Linked DNA regions of Saccharomyces cerevisiae S288C. The main gene of each other region encodes a partner of the protein of the gene in region 2 in a complex. Each region holds a gene or a part of one and is shown on either strand. Other genes may lie near its edges. A codon is read from its position in the direction of its gene.

The links. Proteins that work in one complex are often made in the same cells at the same time.
Region 1: the proteins of CBF5 (region 2) and GAR1 are in contact, whole or in part, in a crystal structure (PDB 3U28), measured with the Saccharomyces cerevisiae proteins. Residues at the interface, in NP_013276.1 of Saccharomyces cerevisiae: His130 (codon at 1,623), Asn145 (codon at 1,578), Leu146 (codon at 1,575), Thr147 (codon at 1,572), Ala149 (codon at 1,566), Leu150 (codon at 1,563), Phe151 (codon at 1,560), Arg153 (codon at 1,554), Arg162 (codon at 1,527), Leu164 (codon at 1,521), Val166 (codon at 1,515), Thr198 (codon at 1,419), His202 (codon at 1,407), Gly204 (codon at 1,401), Met205 (codon at 1,398), Leu206 (codon at 1,395), Leu207 (codon at 1,392), Gly208 (codon at 1,389), Val209 (codon at 1,386), Gly210 (codon at 1,383); in NP_011957.1 of Saccharomyces cerevisiae: His45 (codon at 1,044), Pro46 (codon at 1,041), Cys47 (codon at 1,038), Glu48 (codon at 1,035), Val52 (codon at 1,023), Ile60 (codon at 999), Phe63 (codon at 990), Glu80 (codon at 939), Ile81 (codon at 936), Leu82 (codon at 933), Gly83 (codon at 930), Pro84 (codon at 927), Leu85 (codon at 924), Glu87 (codon at 918), Val88 (codon at 915), Phe89 (codon at 912), Thr91 (codon at 906), Ile119 (codon at 822), Phe122 (codon at 813), Leu123 (codon at 810).

Annotation. Positions count from the first base shown.
Region 1 is NC_001140.6:282,123-285,235, forward strand, and holds GAR1 (H/ACA snoRNP pseudouridylase subunit GAR1), read right to left. Parts: upstream 1,177-3,113; coding exon 559-1,176; downstream 1-558. Other genes in the region: rRNA-binding ribosome biosynthesis protein RPF1, read left to right, coding at 1-260; histone acetyltransferase YNG2, read right to left, coding at 1,655-2,503; arginine--tRNA ligase MSR1, read right to left, coding at 2,717-3,113. UniProt on the Saccharomyces cerevisiae protein: Non-catalytic component of the H/ACA small nucleolar ribonucleoprotein (H/ACA snoRNP), which catalyzes pseudouridylation of rRNA and is required for ribosome biogenesis.
Region 2 is NC_001144.5:504,155-508,143, reverse strand, and holds CBF5 (pseudouridine synthase CBF5), read right to left. Parts: upstream 2,011-3,989; coding exon 559-2,010; downstream 1-558. Other genes in the region: RFX1 (Rfx1p), read left to right, coding at 1-347; isocitrate dehydrogenase (NADP(+)) IDP2, read right to left, coding at 2,315-3,553; TAG1 (Tag1p), read right to left, coding at 3,897-3,989. UniProt on the Saccharomyces cerevisiae protein: Catalytic subunit of H/ACA small nucleolar ribonucleoprotein (H/ACA snoRNP) complex, which catalyzes pseudouridylation of rRNA. This involves the isomerization of uridine such that the ribose is subsequently attached to C5, instead of the normal N1.

The DNA of each region.
Region 1 (3,113 bases), on a different chromosome or scaffold from region 2:
TAGGTAGGTTGTTTCAGTCCATTTTACCTCAGAATCCTGATATTGAAGGTCGACAAGTTATCACCCTACATAATCAAAGAGATTACATTTTCTTCAGAAGGCATCGGTATGTCTTCAAAGATAATGAAAGGGTTGGTTTGCAAGAACTGGGTCCACAATTTACCCTCAAGTTGAAAAGATTGCAAAGGGGTATTAAGGAAGAAACTGAATGGGAGCATAAACCTGAGATGGACAAAGAAAAGAAAAAGTTTTATTTATAGTGTTCCATTCGTAAACTTTGTATGGATATAATATTAAGACAACCGTAAGAACCGTGGTCGTTTGTTTAACTACGGCGGCTTCTGGTATTACTGAATTTCTCTTTTTTTCATTTTAAATCAATTTATTACAGGTAAATCAATCAAACAAATATATATATATATAGTATACAGAACAAACGGTAATTTCTTTTTTTTTTTTTCGACGTTAGACGTGCTTCGGCAGATATAGTAAGTTGGAAGAAATGAAGAATTGTGAAAGATAAAGGATGGTTTTTTTTTTTATTTTTTTCTAGCTAGATTATCTTCTACCTCCTCTGAAACCACCACGAGATCCGCCACGAGATCCTCCTCTAAATGATCCGCCACGAGATCCACCTCTGAAAGAACTGCCACCACGGCCTCCTCTGAAAGAACTACCACCACGGCCTCCTCTGAAACCTCCTCTGCTACCACCGCGACCCATTGAAGCACCACCACGGCCACCTGGGGCACCACTTCTCTTCTTCTTGTTTTTTGGTTTTGGTGGGCCTACCACCTTAGGCTTAGGTAAAAATCTTTCAATAGGCAATAGTTTGTCAGCGGCAATGTAGAATTTATCACCTTCTTTAAAACTGGTTGCTTGGACACCGTCACCACACTTGATAGTGAAAAATACTTCGTTTAATGGACCCAATATTTCGTCAACTTTACCGACTTGAGTCTTGTTTTCCAAATATATTGGCGCATTGAAATATGGAATCTTAGTGTTGATAGAACGGCAAACAATATCACCCTCACATGGATGTAGAAAAGCTCCCATTTCTAGAACAGTGTCTGGTGGTCCTTGTTGAAATGATCTAGCACTGCCTGTACGTCCACCACGAAAGCCGCCACGGAAGCCGCCACGGCCACCTCTATTACCTCCTCTGAAACTCATTATTTTCTTTTGGTTAAAAATTATCCTCAGGTGATCTTTTGGTAGAAGAGAGCAATCAGATACTCTATCGAAAAGGTGCTCACGTTATAAGGCTAACAAATTAATTTTTTCTTCCTTTCCTCATCTCGAAAAATTTTTCACTACAAAAAATTCCGACGTCAAAGTTTGAAAAAAAGACCATCTGATCACGTGACACCTTTTTCCTGCTCATAAGTTTTAAAAACCGTATGACACATATGCTAATGAAATTAAAATATATAGTATATACCTGAATATGCAGGAATCATATCTTAGTTTGATTCACAAGTATTTGAAAGTACATTCAAAAATGTCAATCGTATATGTCCTTGCTAGCTGATGTCTCGAAATTACTTCTCCTTTTCGAAAAGCACATTGTCAGAATAGCAATCACCGTTTCTGGCTTATGGAATATTATTAGTGTAAATGAGGTCATTCAGTCTCAAAAAGGTATTTTTGTTCAGTTACGTTTTCTTTTCAGTTTGTTTTTTTCCATCTCAATTTTACATTCGGGACAGTACCATGTTCCTTTCGGAGGTTCTTTTAAATTTACACAATCATAATGAAACCATTCATATTTACAGTTGGGTCCATCACATGCAACCATTTCTCCAAACGAAACTCTTTGACAGAAGCAGTATAAAGTTTTGTCCTCTTCCTCGTTTTCAGGGGAACCGTTTTGGCCTTTACCATTTCTACTGTTTTTGAATTCTTTTGTTCTTGCAATCTTCTTTTCAATGCTTGGGCTCACTGGAGTAACAGACTTTTCTCTTGAAGAAACGTCAATTTCATTTTGCAGTTTAGATGTTCGACTAGTTTTTTTCTTTTTCAAAGTGGGTGGAACGGATCCTGAGCTTGATGCAGCTCTTCTCTTTTTCACGCTACTGTTACTCACAACTGAACTTTCTCTAGAGGCTTCAGCAGCGCTATCCATGTCTCCATCTTCTTCCACGGGGGCTAGAACACCATCTTCCTCCAATAAAGCGATGTTTTTTTCCAACTTATTCAAGTGTCTAGCAATTAGAAACAAGGCAGTGTTCGCCAGAACGCATTTTTCTCTTTGCAAAGACTGACATTTCAAAAGTGATTCTTTTATTTCTTTGTCAAGCCCATCTTCCTGTGGATGTTTCGGTATTGAGCCTTGCTGTCTTATAAATTTGTGTATTTGTGATTCTTTTTGCTCGTATTTCTTTTTTTCTTCGATGAGCTTCAAATCATTTGAACCGATCTCCTCTAAGAGGTAACGAAATTCTGATGGGAGGTTGGACACATCTTGTATCGTTTGCTCTAAAACTAAACTTGGATCCATCTTCTATTGGTTATGTTGTCCAATATAAACTTGCATATCCTTCTTCTTTGTTTCTATTTCAACTAACGGTAGGTGGGTTATTCAAGAATCAATTAAAGGAAAATCGGAAAATATCACGTTGTACGTAACAATAAACTTTCTTCTATTTACATGTTTATAAATTGGTTAAACTTAATCTAAATTAATCTAGCATTTGCTAGCTTATTCATATAATTACATTCTATCAACCGGGACTAGTCCCAAAAGCGACATTGCATTGTGTAACACTTGTCTACTTGCTGAATATACGGCGAGTCGCGGTATGGCAATATCTGCAGGTTTTCCGGAAACCCATATTTTTTTATAGCACGAGGAGACCTGATGGCAAACTTTGAATAAATATGTTACAATCGTGGCCGGCTCTTGAGTTTCGAATGCTCGTCTAAGGACATCTGGATACTGCGCTAGCAACCTCACAAGCTCAACTAGTTGTGGTTCATTTAAATTTGAAAAATCTGCGTGTATTAGCATGTCCGTCGTAAAGTCGCTGGAGGTCCTTTCTAAAGATCTAAGTCTGGAATGTGTGTATTGTAAATAGGGCCCTGTGTCACCTTCGAAAGACAACATTCTG
Region 2 (3,989 bases):
CAGAGACAAACACAATAATGCAACATTTACAAGGGTTCTGTCAAGTTTTCGTAACAAAGTTCTTAAATTCCTCTATGAGCGTTAGCAATGATCCCTCTGTGTCTATCGAATGCAAGTCCTTAAATGAAATGATTAAAGATTTTTGTTCCTTTATTTCCCTACAAAGCAAATTTTCGTGCTTGAAATTAATTGATTGCAGCACAAGATTCAGGAATGCAATAATCGGCGATATTAGCTTAAAATCAAATGAGAATTTGCTATCATGGTTGTTTCTAAATAATGTCATGGGCCAATTGCTGAACTACTGTTTTGAAGTCATGAAATTCGTCAATGGCCTAAAAGTTTAAAAGTTCTATCATTAGTATATGGGGATATTTAAAAAAGAATATAACGTTGCATATGTAAAAAAAATAAAAGTAAAAGAATACTACAAGTCGTTGATAAAGAAATTTTACGTTATTAATATACACACTAAAAAAAATCTAATCTAATAATAGAAAAAGTTTTTTGAAAAAAAGAAAGCTGTTAAATATATAGGATGAGATGGAGTGATGAGAATCATTTCTTAGATTTCTTAGATTTCTTTTCCTCAGAATCACCGTCTTCAGACTTTCTTTTCTTCTCCTTTTTCTCTTTCTTTTCCTTCTTGTCCTTCTTTTCTTTCTTTTCCTTCTTTTCCTTCTTGTCCTTCTTCTCTTTCTTTTCCTTTTTGCTGTCATCCTCTTTCACTTCTTCCTTCTCAGTTTCGACTTCTTTGATTAAAGAATCTTCTTTAGCTTTCTTAGGCTCTTCTTCAGTTTCCTTAGTTTCCTGAGAGCTAGAAGTTGACTGTTCAGCATTGTCTAATGGAACATATTCTTTTTTCCATTGTTCTGGGGTGTTTTCGTTAACACGGCCGTATTTATCCAATTTGCCGTCTGCCTTCATTTGCTTCTTCTTTTGTGCGACTGGACCCAAACCCCATCTTCTTGGGTATAAATCTCTTTCCATGATACATCTCTTCACACTAGCAACAACACCATGATCACAGGAAGCTAAGTCAACGGTTGACATTTGTGCGATGGCAACGGCAATGGCTTCACCCTTGGTAGTTATCAAGACAATTTCGTCATATAACTCAATACCTTCTTCGTAACGCAATAAACCAGGGATCATCAACTTTGCACCATAACATACTGCATTGACAGCAGAATCCTTCACTACAATTCTCTTGTAACCAACCAATAGAGTTTCTAAAGGTTGAATAATGGATCTCAAGTAAGATTCATCTCTTGTATTGTCGTAAACCCATTGGGCATCCATAACATCATGTAAAGTGACCATGTTGTCATTTTCAGACAGAGCACCGGATCTAACACGACGCAATTCTTGCATGTGACCACCAACACCTAATAGCATACCTAAATGAACACACAAAGTACGCATATAAGTACCAGCTTCACAGGAAGCCCAGAAAACACCTAAGTTTCTCTTGTTATCGAACTCAATCAAGTTTGACTCATAGATAGTACGAACACGTAATTGTCTCTTAACAGCAGAGATTAAAGGAGGTCTTTGGAAAAGCGCACCGGTCAAGTTTTCTAGTGAGCGGCCCAAATCCTTTTCATCCTTCAAAGCATCATGCAATCTGACAATACACACATACTCCTTACCAGCACCTTGTTGAGACTTAACCAACCTGGTAGCTCTGTCAATACAAACAATCAAACAACCTGTAACTTTTGGATCCAATGTACCAGAGTGACCAGTCTTCTCACAACGTAAGATTCTTTTGATCCAAGCTACAACTTCGTGCGATGATGGGTTGGAAGGTTTATCTAGATTAATGACACCAGAGCTGATATATGATTTCAGGTCTCTCTTTAGTGGTGAACTACCAGCTGGGATAGGGGTATAATGACCACTTCTGACTAATAACTTATCAAAATTCTTCAAAAGTAATGGCCATTCACTAGTGTCAGTGGAAGCACCTGCAGCTTCAGGCTTAATAACGAAATCCTCCTTTGACATTGTGTATATCGGTCCTCTGTGTAGGTTGTAACGAACTCCAGATGATAATGAATCTTTAAAAAAAAAAACCAATAAAAAATGTTCTGAAAACTATCTTTACATTATATTTTTCCTAAGCTAAACATCTCATCATTTGAAAATTTTTCAAATTTTTTCAGCATTTTCTTTTTGCGAAGAGGGAAAAGAAGAAAGAAAAATTTTCAGTGAGAACAGAAGATCATATGTTACGAGTAGAAAATACTAAAAGTTTTTCGATAAAAAGGGAATATATAATATAAATAAATCAATCTGTCATTGAGTAAGTTTACAATGCAGCTGCCTCGAACTCTTTTTTCAATCTAGATTCCACCGCGTCAATGAACTCCTCGGTAGTGACATAAGCGGATCTTTCAGACTTACCGAGAATGAGCGCCAAATCTTTAGTCATGATTCCATCTTCTTGCACTGTATTTACCGTAGCGCTTTCCAATATTTGGCCGAACTTAACTACATCTGGAGTATTATCAAGTTTACCCCTTTGAATAATACCTCTAGTCCACGCGAAAATTGATGCAATGGAATTTGTTGACGTCTCCTTTCCTTGCTGATGCTGTCTAAAATGTCTTGTTACTGTACCGTGGGCGGCTTCGCTTTCAAAGGTTTTACCGTCCGGGGTAATCAACACAGATGTCATTAACCCCAAGGAGCCAAATCCTTGTGCAACAATATCTGATTCTACGTCACCGTCGTAATTTTTCATGGCAATTATGTATCCACCTTTAGATTTCAACATTTGGGCCACCATATCATCAATTAAACGGTGCTCGTACCAGATGCCAAGGGATTCAAACTTCTCTTTATAACTTCTAGCATACATGGCTTCGAAAACATCTTTGAATTTACCATCATACTTCTTCAAAATAGTATTCTTAGTAGTGGAATATAATGGTAACTTCCTTTCAATGGCCAATTCAAAGGAGGCCTTCGCAAACCCTTCGATCGAATCTGTAGTGTTGTACATCATCATGGCAACCCCACCATGTTCTGGGTAGTCAAATACCTTCAGATCTACATCATGAGTTCCGCTCTTGGATTTATAAACAAGCCTCAACTCGCCTTCTTCAGGGACTATTACATCGGTAGCTTTGTACTGATCGCCGAATGCGTGTCTCCCAATGATGATGGGCTTCTCCCATTGAGGAACTAGCCTTGGAATTCTAGGGATAATAATAGGTTCTCTGAACACTGTACCACCCAAAATGTTTCTAATAGTACCATTTGGAGATTTCCACATCTTTTTCAAATGAAATTCCTCGACCCTTGCCTCATCGGGTGTAATAGTCGCGCATTTGACAGCTACTCCATACTTTAAAGTCGCGGTGGCAGAATCCACAGTTACTTGATCATTAGTCTGGTCACGATACTCCACGGAAAGATCGTAGTACTTCAAATCAACGTCAAGATAGGGCAAGACTAACTTGTCCCTGATTAAATGCCAGATTATTCTTGTTTGCTCATCGCCGTCCATTTCCACAATGGGGTTAGCTACCTTAATCTTTGTCATTACGATTTTATATATATACGTACGTTACCTTCTTACCTCCTATTCTCGTGCCTGAGCAGCGACTGTAGTCGACAAGTCAAGAGTGTAGTAACATACAATTGCAGGCTGTCATTTATATATCATGCCGGAGACTAGTTTGCCTATAGCCAATTCCAACCGAACCAATAATGTTAAGTCCGGTTTTTGATATTATACTCCACCCCCACTATTCCTAGCCCTGAAAGGTATCAAAGAGAACACTGATGATTTGACTACTGCATATTCTTCCCTTATTTCCTTATTTGCCGATTTTCGGACCACCGGCAATGACATCCCGGAGTTATAAAAATAAATAGATAGACGTTCACGTGACCAAAGTGTCACCCTCTCCGGCTAACCCGGTGAGAACCCACGGGCCCAATGCCGTCGTAAGTGACGCATCTATCGTCGCATTAAA